Linked DNA regions of Coturnix japonica. The protein of the gene in region 1 purifies or fractionates together with the protein of each later gene. This does not show direct contact. Links are inferred from orthologs where the notes say so. Each region holds a gene or a part of one and is shown on either strand. Other genes may lie near its edges.

What was found.
Region 2: the proteins of NRP1 (region 1) and mitochondrial chaperone BCS1 purify together in Homo sapiens (affinity purification with mass spectrometry; 3 studies listed by BioGRID and IntAct, counting the BioPlex papers as one, with this or other methods). This does not show direct contact. The link is inferred for Coturnix japonica from reciprocal best matches to the Homo sapiens genes NRP1 and BCS1L.
Region 3: the proteins of NRP1 (region 1) and KDR purify together in Homo sapiens (affinity purification with western blotting; 7 studies listed by BioGRID and IntAct, with this or other methods). This does not show direct contact. The link is inferred for Coturnix japonica from reciprocal best matches to the Homo sapiens genes NRP1 and KDR.

What each region holds. Positions count from the first base shown.
Region 1 is NC_029517.1:12,662,136-12,665,785, reverse strand, and holds part of NRP1 (neuropilin-1), read right to left. Parts: intron 3,441-3,650; coding exon 3,166-3,440; intron 2,707-3,165; coding exon 2,613-2,706; intron 875-2,612; coding exon 818-874; intron 1-817. UniProt on the Homo sapiens protein: Cell-surface receptor involved in the development of the cardiovascular system, in angiogenesis, in the formation of certain neuronal circuits and in organogenesis outside the nervous system. Mediates the chemorepulsant activity of semaphorins.
Region 2 is NC_029522.1:24,268,783-24,272,532, reverse strand, and holds the start of mitochondrial chaperone BCS1, read right to left. Parts: upstream 2,609-3,750; 5' UTR 2,499-2,608; intron 2,455-2,498; exon of another isoform or gene 2,431-2,454; intron 2,328-2,430; 5' UTR 2,274-2,327; coding exon 1,954-2,273; intron 1,602-1,953; coding exon 1,462-1,601; intron 1,348-1,461; coding exon 1,153-1,347; intron 733-1,152; coding exon 669-732; intron 336-668; coding exon 166-335; intron 1-165. Other genes in the region: ZNF142 (zinc finger protein 142), read left to right, coding at 2,925-3,162, 3,708-3,750. UniProt on the Homo sapiens protein: Chaperone necessary for the incorporation of Rieske iron-sulfur protein UQCRFS1 into the mitochondrial respiratory chain complex III.
Region 3 is NC_029519.1:58,827,879-58,831,628, reverse strand, and holds the end of KDR (vascular endothelial growth factor receptor 2), read right to left. Parts: intron 2,891-3,750; coding exon 2,794-2,890; intron 2,690-2,793; coding exon 2,601-2,689; intron 1,809-2,600; coding exon 1,589-1,808; 3' UTR 278-1,588; downstream 1-277. UniProt on the Homo sapiens protein: Tyrosine-protein kinase that acts as a cell-surface receptor for VEGFA, VEGFC and VEGFD. Plays an essential role in the regulation of angiogenesis, vascular development, vascular permeability, and embryonic hematopoiesis.

The DNA.
Region 1 (3,650 bases):
GGAATGGACGTGGAAATGGGGATAGTGACAGAACTGACACAGGAGAGCACTCTGCCTCCTAATGTAAAATATTCACTGGATATCACAATGTTTTCCCTAAACTCAATTTATTAAGGAGACATGCTAAGCTTATGAAACTTGCTAATTGTTGCAAGCAAAGCAAAGGAGTATTTCTGTATGAACTCCACTTTCACTAAACCCAGTGACAATCTTGTTGACTGTAGCCAAAAAGAAAAAAAAGAAGCTCTTTGCTTGAAAAATGCGAATGTATTTCACTATGAGAACAATATGACAATTATGATCCATTTAATGATCCATTTACAGCTATCATCATTGAAAACGATAATGCTTTGGTAGACTGGTTATAAAACGACATTTTCTGCAAGGTCTGAGAAATGATTAGCCTGAAGAGTTTTGAGCCTAATTACCTAGACACTGCATGAGACATAAAATACAGTGATAGCTTTTTCTTCATCTGTGGGTATGCCTTCTGGATAAAAAATATTAGAGATCGATAGTGTGTGTGTGCATAAATATGTATACAATGTAACAAACATACATAAAATTTGAATTTTTAAAATCTTTATATAGGATAGAAAATCCACAAGATTGTAAGGCAAAGAAGAATAAAACTATGAAATCCTGAGTATAAATGTAAACCTTCTAAGTGTCTGCTGTAGATAAACAACAACAACAAAAAACTTAGTGCCATATGCAATTAAGATTACCAATTCATAAATAAGGAAATAGAATACACAAATTCACATGAAAAGACACATTGTAATTCATTTCCTTGTAACAATAGCATAATTTTTACCTGTTTGATTACTTTCTGGATCTTCTTCATCTATTCTGTTCTCCAGATCAGTTGATTCTAATGAAGCAAAGAGAATTGACATTGATTATTAGGGTTACAAACACTGATTGACTATCATGCTGACAATAATGGTATAGCAGATTTTTCTGTGTCAGAGCATCATTATGCCAGCTTGACATAACTGTTCATTATGACGGGCTCTGAAAATTAATGGAGAAAAAAGAAAGATTTAAAAACTTCTCTCCACCCAATCTTGGCACAGTTTTAGAGTTATCAGCAGGGGTTTTCCATGCCTACAAAAGAGAAATCAGTGTGATAAATTAGCATCTCATTCATTGTATTTACAATTTTGGAGCCCAATTCCACAACACTTCATCAGTGAAGGCACAGTTAATCACAAGAACTGCAGCGAGACCATTTGTGTTTGGTCTGCTGAATAAGCTTTAGCTCACACAGGCTAAAATTTCTGCGCACCATTTGGTTTGTATATCTGAAAGGAGGAAATATACAAACACCAATTGTAGTCTTACTGTTTGGGGTTGAATTTTTGTTCCTCCTTTCCTGTTGGACAGTTTACCTGGCTATCATTATTGTTATTATTTCTGTTATGATGTTTCAAATAGAAGCTCCATTTGTCTTTATTTCTTGAGATTTCAGTTTGCATATCTGAAATGAGGAGGTAGGAAATAAGTTACTTTCCTCTCTCATTTCAGTCAGATCAGCGCCATCACTGTGGTCCCAGCATCTTGCTTGGCACTGAAGATACTGCAGGAGGATCAGGCAGTGTGCACTGACTCTCTTTCCTGGTAACGTTTACTTGTGCTGCAGGATGAATCGAGGAGATGGACTGCACAATGAAGAGACTGTTTCAGTCTTATTCAGCTATGAAATTACCATGTAGTTGGAGCCTGTCATGTTATCCTCAAATGGCTGTTAGCCACAAAGGGTGAGAACAGCCTCTATCATTGTTCTCCATTGTGCTGCCAACTCAAGTGGAGTAAGTTTACATTTCTGATGCTGAAGGTTCTCTGTTCTATTTTCTCTCTTAATCTCATACCTCAATCTCTATCATGAAGGACGGGATTTAGTTGCTTGTGTTTATCTGGAGGTTGCTGCTGCCAAATTACGTGCAGTATGCAATGCACATATGATTGGCTGTGACTGGAATAATTCCAGACTGGCCAGAAAAAAACGACTGAAACAGGGGCTCAAGATCAGCCTGGCTCGGAAGCAAAACAGACCACGATCCAGTACTACTCAGTGACACGTGTCTAGGGAACTGATAACTATGGTAAATGAGTAATTGCAAACTCTGCTGCAGGGCAGCAAAGGACAGGGCTGTGGCCACTGAACCATACTTGGGTATCCAATGTTGGTTTGATAAAATGCTTAAAAAATCCTAGGATAAGTGATCTAAAATGAGTGAAGAATTTTAAGCAATAATTAAGGTAGGGAAGAGCATTATGAAAAGCAGAAAAATACAAAGAGTACAGCAATAAAAAATATAAGGAGAGATGTGAGGATGTGAATGTGCTGTGACCTGTCAGGGGGATGCCAGCTGTGATCCAGAAGACTGCATCACTGCAGTACTGAGGCCAGCCTACCAATTAGAGTATGGACCAGATCAGGGCGTTTTCAGTGCTAAGCTTCCAATATCATCAATAATTATGTATCCTTTTCACAAAGAAAAAAAAAAACCCAAAACTAAAATCCCATAATATCAGCTATCTAAATAAATCTAAGTAAATATAGGTACTGGATGAGATCTCTATACAACCATGCTATGCATACTTACTTTGGCAGTCCTCTTGAGATATGTGATTGTCAATATTAATATCATCCACAGCAATTCCTCCATTTCCTTTTCCAATTTCTCCCTCTATAACCACCTGGAAAAATAAGATAATTTTCACACTGTTTTCAAGTTAACACACAATTGAAGAGTTCAGGAAGTCTTAATTAGCCGTTAACACACTTCTCCAGTTGTCACGATGCCACATTACGCACACTTTGATTGTGGCCTGTCAATCAGCGCTATATGCCTTTACGAACTTATATGCACAAATGTGAATTCATATAATGTCTAAACTTCACAGAAACATTTTACATCAGTAGCAAAAGTATGGCAAGGATGCAGTTTTTTGACAACTGAGAAGTGATTTCTAATGCATTTATTTGGCCTTCTATAACAAATTGCTTGTATCACTGTCATCTGCGATAGTATGAAATATGCCACTATTATTACTGTCACAGCAACAGCAACTCATCTGTAGGTATAACACTGTTTACACAAATCCTCCAGTGACATTTTCTGCTAAGGCATGTAAGGCATGACCAGCAAGGCTCACCTGGTAGTGTTTCACAGACTTGTGCAGAAGAACACGGCCCTCCTTCCAACAGTCTGCCTGGTGCCCGTTCAGGGTCAGCAGCACCTGGTCATATTCATCTGGCTTCTGGTACCTCAGCTTGATCTTCAGAGTGCCAACATGTGGGCCAGACATGTGGTACCAGAAAGTCATGCAGTGTGCTGAGTTCTGTGAGTAAATGACGGGGCTCAACAGCCGGGCAACTTTGCCTTTCTGGCTTTCGTCAGCTTGAGAGTAGATGAAGTTGCCATCTCCTGCTGTGACAAAAGGACTGCATTAGGAATAGTGACCAGATGTTGTTTTCTTTGTTCAGCTAAGAAATCTCAGCTCTGCCAGTCGTGGTCTCTTTGCATTCTGCCCCAAGTCGCACAACTGAGAGTGAAGTGTGCCCCAGAGAGAGTGTATTTCTGCTGCTCACCAAGATGCCCTGTGACAAGTGTGTGCCACATAACACTCAGAATTTGTTT
Region 2 (3,750 bases), on another chromosome or scaffold:
ATACCTCTGGAATTATGGACCCAATGCTCCCTTCATACGGCCAAGCCAAAATGGAGTGAGCTCCAGCTTGAGTCATGAGACCTCTGAGAGCTGCCCCCTCCCTGTCAGCCAGTACCAAGCCAGCATATATCCCAATGCCTGGCCCAGGAAGAGATCACCACTCACTCTCAGCAGCGAGGTCCCGACTGACGAAGGCAGCATCCACATCCTCCAGAAGGATGATGCTCTGCTGTGGTGCCACACTCATAAGGTAATTGAGTCGGTCATCAGAGAGGCTGCGGTCACTGAGGCTCAGCAGGCAGATACTGTGTTGCAGCTCCCCTGCCAGCGCTGTACTGGGAAGGACACAAAACACAGCTGTGAATCACAGGAAGAAAGCCTGGAGCAGAGGAAGGCAGCGGAAGCTGAAGAACGGGCTCTCCCTGTCCAGTAGCAGAAGAGAGCACATTTTCCCCAGTGGGGATCAGGCAAGGACAGTGGATGTGAGCCCTAGTGTCAGGCCAGCTTGTACACAGTGCTGTCACTCTGATCTACAATGGTGACACAGCCCACTCCTTCACTGCTGGATTTCAAACCCAAGCCCACCTACATCTTCTCATCAGACACTGCTGCACATCAGAGCAGGCAGCTGGCAGGAAAACTGCTGTCACACAGCTAGCAATACTCACATGAAGCTGCTTTTTCCACAGCCAGGAGGACCGTATAGCAGGTAGCCTCTTCTGTATGGGATCCCTAGGAAGACAGTGTCCTTTTAGGAACCAGCTGTGCTACTCTGAGACCTCTCCCTCAGAGCCGAGAGAGAGGCTGATGAACAGAAGGCTGGAAACTGCTACGAGACAGGGCTGCAGCAGGCACAGCAGCAGGGTGCTGAGAAGCTGCGGGGATGGATATAAGCAGCAGCCTCTGCTTGGCCCCTGATTATGCTTGTCCCTTCCTTTCTCCCCTGTGCTTGGCTATGTTAAGGGCTCTTTGTTAAGAGCTGAAAACGAGTGGGTACATCATGGTCACAGTTGGGGTGAGAGCACTGCGCTGTGTCCAGGCTGAAGAACTCAGACACACGAGGGGTTTCGCATAGCACAGCTGTGCTATCTGTGGACAGGGGTAAGGTGATGCATTGGACACAGCACAGAGGACACCGTGCTGGAGCCTTGCCTCTCTCGATGTACCACTGGGGGTTGTCGATGAACTCCTTCACATCCTTAACCAGCCTCTCTGACACACCCGTCTCCAGCACCACCGAGCTGAGAGGCCGGCGGCGGCGCGGGAACCCAAACTGCCTCCACTCCGTTCCAATGGCTGTGTACATGATTGTCCTCCCCTCCTGCTGCTGCAGAGCCAACTCCCGGGCTGCAGAAAGAGGCAGAGGGAATGGCTGGCAGGGAAAAGGCTCTCTTATGACATCCCAGGTGCCACCAGGAAGGGGGCTGTTCCCAGTAGGGCCATATACAGCTGCCTACAGACCTTCCTGGAGGATGTTGAAGAAGATCTCCCGGTTGGTGCCCAGTGCTGTGAAGGTGACAGACTCCCAGGCGGTTCCTGTGTTCAGGTCAACCATCTGCCTCTCCCGGTTGCGCTCAATGCGAATCCACTTGTTCTGATACCTGGAACAAGAGAACAGAGTGAGGGATGGAACCCACCTCCAGCCACAAGCCACATCACCAAGTGTGAGTGTCAGCCTCTGCCTTTCTCCTCTCAGTCAGATCAGCCAGCGATGGTGCTGCTCTCTGTGCCCAAAGCAGGTACGGTGGGGACCTGGGCTCAGTAAGGGGAACTCATGGCCCTTGTGTGCAGTCAAACTCCCTAAACTACTCCCAATCTCCTCTCCTAATTCAGACACAAGAAAGAGGTAGAATTCTCTCCTCTGCCTCTAGGAGCCCTCCAAACTGGACTTTCCTTGCCAAAATGAGGGTGAATCCACAGATTGCTTCTCCCTCTCCCTGTGGTTTTCCTTACCAGATGAAATGGTTTCCAGGGCTGGGCACGAAGTCAAACTTGGTGCTGACGCGCCCGCTCTCATGCTGCAGGTACGAGGTCTCAACACTCAGGTGCTGCGTACGCTTGGCATGATGCGAGATCCAGTTCAGCAGCCACTGGTAGCTCTTATCCTTACTAGGCACCTCCAACGTTATCATATAGTGACGCCTGAAAGCCACCAACCCAACCTGAGCCCCTTTCCGAGCCAGCGCCATGGCCGTGCCCACTCCAACAAGGCCAAACCCAGCCCCAAAGTAGGGGTTGTCCTTCAGCGCCGCGATAAAGTCAGAAAACGGCATAATGGGACGTTAACGGGATTCTTCCCACAGCATCTCCACAGTCCATCAGCCAACCTGTGTGGGCAGAGAGTGCAGGTGGGCTGAGTGATGAAGCAATGTACTATACAGCCCCTACCCGTGTCCCAGAGGGCCCTACCCCACAGCACAGCACCCTCACCCCGAGACAGGCCGAGACAGACCAGGCCAAGACCAGGCCCAGGCCAGGCCCGGCCCGTTGCCCCTCACCTCCACGCCGCTCTCCCCGCCGCCGTGCCGCTCTCTATGGTTACTTCCTCTTCCGGCGGCTCCCGGCCACTCACCCGCTGGAGGACCGGAAGTGGCGGTAGGGAGGCGCTCTGTGCGGCCGGATACCATCGAGATGCGCTGGGCCGGGTCTGCAGGTGGGACTGGGGTCAATGGAGGGGCCGTACTGGGGGCACTGGGTCGGGGCTAGGCCTGAGTGCATTGCGTTGCTCCTGGGCTGGGGATGAGGTGTTCTGCCCGGCTGCAGGCCCTGCGTGAGGCCCCTGGCTCAGGTGGTGCTGAGGCCCTTGGTTCACCCTCTGAAATCCCTCATCATTCCATCTCGTTCTTCTCTTCCAGAGCCAGGGAACCCCCCCCTGCCCCGCACCCGGCTCTGAGTGAGGGGCAGTGAGTGCAGGAGGCGAGGAGATGGAGGCCCTGTGTTCTGAGCTGCTCCTGCCCTCCCCGGGTGCAGTGGGAGTAGCAGGAGCAATGGGAAGCCCTACTGCCACTGCTGGGGCTGCCCCGCTGCCCGTGAGGCAGGAGCTGGTGCTGGCAGAGGCGTCGTTGCCTGGGGAAGGGGCTGCGTCCGAAGGAAGCAACGTAGAGATCTTCATCGAGGCTGTAGCTGGCAACGTGACTCTGAGCAACGCAGCCAGCGGCACCGGTACAGGGTGTGGGGAGGAGGGCACAGAGCATTCGGTGCTGAGCAGTGGGATGGGGGGGTCAGCTGGGCACTGTGCCTTCTGGTCAGCATCATGGGGATGTCACACTGACCCTGTGTGCATCGTGAACAGATGCTGCTGCTCAGTGTGAGTCTGGCACAACGTGGGGAGGACTGGCCCAGGAAACCAGGCTTTGGGGTTGCTCTGAGCCTTTGGAGGATGCAGGTGGAGATCTCCGTCCTCCTGCATCACCCAGCTCACTGTCCACCGTGGGGCGTCCTGCTAGAGAGAAGGCCAAGCAGCATTACTCTGCCTCAGAGGTGCTAAGGGACAGACCCACTCAGAGTGGTCACCTGCATGATGACTCTCCTTCTGCAGTGGGACTATGTGGCATGGGATTCCCAGGGCAGAGGGAGGACTGTTGTTTTCAAAGCTGTAATTCATGCAAGATAATTTTTGTTCTTGTCCAGAGCTGGAACTGAACCACTGGTCCCAAGCTCTGGGCTTGGTGAAAGCCCTTTCTCATGATCATCCTTGCTCTGTGCAGAGGTTCTGGTCAAGGTGGTGGAGTTGTATTTCTGCGAGAGGTG
Region 3 (3,750 bases), on another chromosome or scaffold:
CTGAAGTTTCTTTACTACAGGTACCCACAGAAGCGTTCATAGACCTGTACAATGGCAGAAATATCTAGATTTGTTAAGTGGCACTTAAGATAACTAGTACTTGATAAGTTTCCCTGTCAGTAGTCAGGATATAAGTAAATACAGGCAAGAGAAAATTTACCTGTACCCCCCACCTCTGTTTCCAGTCTCTTATAATAAAATGAAAAGCTTTATCTATTAAAAATGTTGTGACCCTCATGATGCTACAGAACACTGATATAAAATGTGAATAGTACAATATCCATTATATAATATATATATTTATATTTTAATATATTACATTTATTTCTACATAAGTAGGCTATAAATACTGTATATGCCTTATATCCATGGTTCCCAGCATCTGACTTTATAGTAAGTACAAACAAACAAAATAACCCAACAATATAAAAATACAAAAAAGAACTCAGTAGAAATAGCTTTACATTTTAAAACCTTGCAGTTTGCATTGTGTTTATCAATAGTGTTCTGGGACTACAAGAGCACAGTAAGAAGTTGTCCATCAACTACAGTCTCACCACTTGGAGAAGATTGGAGCTGCCATGAAATCAGTCACAGATTCCCACGACTACATAAATCACAATCTCTGCTGGTGCAAACAAACTTTGAGTTTGTCAGTGACAGATGTGGCTTACACCTGGGGAAGAAGGATGAGAAGAGAAGGCAGAGTGGCTTTCGGATAACCCATCAAGACCAAAGGGCTGTCTATGCTCCCAAAGTAAATGAACCCTCCCTCTCTATCTCTGCCCCAGTGGCAGCTCAGAGGAGAATTTTCCACAGCACTCCTGACTAGCTCACAGGTGATCAGGACCTTGGCAAGGACTAAGGGGGCTGGGGAGGGTGTGTGCAGAGACATCACCATGGCAAACATGCCCCATGCACCCATGTTCCATCATCACACCGTTTCTCCTAATGAATCTCACCAAGTACATCTTCCCCAAGGAAATGGAGATCACAGGGTTTAGTACAGCAACATTTTTCTCCACAAAGGACAGAGATCACCTCTCCCACCTATATTTAGCCCAGCCTATGTTTAGCCTTAGGCTATTGGTGAGTGCCAGAGCCTTGAGCTGGAGGTTCCTTTTATAGTTTGTGGAGGTGCAGGCATGGGATAACTCTGAGAAACAAGAAGCCAGCGCTGTGCCGTTTCCTTCCTGGAGTCCAGCCGGGAAAAACAAAAGAGCAGGCCTGTGTCATTATTTCGTACAATTAGCAACAGTTGAGCTGAACGCCATGCCACTGTCCGTGTTGGGCTCGGCCTGCCACCGAGGTCCTAAAGGCCATTACACTGCTTCTGTCATAGAGTTGGCACTGCATTCACACACCACAGCCATGACTTCCCATCCTCAGCCACAAGAGTCTTTGGAGGAATGCACCTCACAGCCTGGCACTGCCTTGGGGCTGCAAGATGCTTCTGTATCCTCTTCTTGAAAAAATAAACGTCTTTCCCTAGGCCCACAGCCGCAGTCTCTGCACACACCAAATGTGAATACCACCAGCCAAGGCAAGGAAGGCACATCCCAGGGGACCTGGAGCCACTGGTTTCGGCTTAGAGTGGCAGGGACGCAAGAGGCGCAGGGCTGTCATATGCCAGGCCATGCGCACGGGGCAGCGTGGGGGAGGCCTCCTGGGCACACAAGAGTTCTGTGTCTTCACTGGAGCAGACCATGTTGTCCATGTCGTCTGAGTGGTACCCTGACTGGTAGCCACTTGTCTGGTTGGATGCCTCGGACATGACAGACTCATTGCTTTTGCTGGGCGCCAGTGTGCTGCAAAAATAACAGATAGGTCAAGTCAGAGAGAAGCAGATTTGTCTTCTGGAAGACAAAGTGGGTGACTCCTGTGGGTAACTGCTTCACATCACAGCGACAACAAAAGCAAAACAGTGAATTCAACAAAACTGGCTTTGAGCCCTTTTAAATGTGTGTTTGATTACAAGGAGAAATCTTTTTATATGCCCTAACTAACCCTAATGAATGAAAAATATTTAATTTTATGATAGTAGGGAGTTAGATTGCAACTGTAGATGAAATGGAGATAAAACCTGGGTATGTTTTGTTCAGTACAGCCACAGTGCAATCATGACTGCTATACACCTTTGTTTGTATGAAATAATTCCTCTGAGAAGCTCTCAGAAAGCATAAGTCAGATGAATGCCACTGTATTTCCTGTGAACTGCACAATTGAATCCCTGTACAATGCTCTGAAAATACACCCAGGTACATCCTGAAAACTCAAGAGCTAGTTTCAGAAGAAAGAAAGAAAGAATAACAAAAAAGAGCTCTTTGTCATCCCAGTTGTGTTACTGGCTCAGTTCCTTCAAGGGGTGGTTGATGCTTTTGCAGCTGGTAAATACAAGTCCCTTCTATGTTGTGCTACCTTCCCTCTCTTGGTACAAAATGCAGATGGCCAGATACACAATGAAAAACTTTTCTTTGTGTGGTTTTAAGAATTCAGTAAGAAAAGTTTTTGTATTTTAACAAAATCTACAAACCTATCAGTGCTCTGAATCACTACAAGAAAAAATCCATATTCAATCCTATTTGCAGCCTGAGCCTTACCTGAAGGGTATTTTGACTTGTTTATCTTGCTCTTCCAGAGTCTTTAGCTCTTCAGATGCAAGAACCATCCCACTGTCTGTCTGGTTTTCCTATAAAAGTGGTTAAAATGCATTAAATGGAAAGGGGATTAAAAATAAGAAAAAAAAATAACACACATCAATAAAAGGAGAAGACATTGAAAGAACAGTCTCACCTCCTGAACAACTTTTACAGTGGTCACCAATGGGATATCTTCAAACGTTTTCACACTCACGGGTCGGCTTTTTCTTTTGCTACCTTGTCGGTACTGACTGAAAAGAAAACAAAAACAATCGCTTTGCATCCACTATCCACAACTGGGCTGAAAACAGCACAGTGATATCAGTATCCTTTTATCTCTCTACAGAGAAATTAATCCTTCTGTCAAAACATATTATGCAAACCTCAAAATATCCATTTATTGAAAAGGACAAACTGCCTAACAAGTGGCAAGTTTCTGACCTCCTGCTCCTGACAGCCTTGATCTCTGAGCAAATTCTAAGAAACAGCTTTGAAAAAACAGCTCCTTTCCTCAGTTACACTGGAGGGCTTCACTTCCTGCAAGCTTTGCTCAGAAGTATAATAAACAGAGGAGCCTGGAACACAGACATGTGTCTCTTTCTTTGGGTTGAACTTCTGGGACCCCTGCCTGGACCCAGGACAACAACAGCAGACTCAGCAGACTGACGCCCTTAAACCATGGGGATCGGCACAGGCAGGGCTGCATCTCTCCTGAAGGCTCTCCTCCAAAAGAAGCCCTTTGGTCAGGATGACATCCATAAAAAATATTAGACCAAAAAATAACAAATAGAAAAACTGGAGTTTCATGGAGGTACTAATAAAGCAAACACAACAGCCTTCTCTCTAAGTGGATCTGGGATAAAATGGATGTTGTCTCAGTTAAATAGCTCCAATTTATGTTCCTGACAGCCAATGGAGAAAAACACACTCTGGGCACTATGGAGTTAGAAGAGAAACCTGCACATACTTGTGCAAAGCTGAAGGCAATACAAGGCATCACTCATCCCATTTCCCAGCTTTGAGTTTAGATATGCCAAGTCCTGCCAGTCTCCTGTTGATTTTAATTAGCCCCAAATATTCTTTAAAATTCTCTGTTTTCCCTATGCTTGCC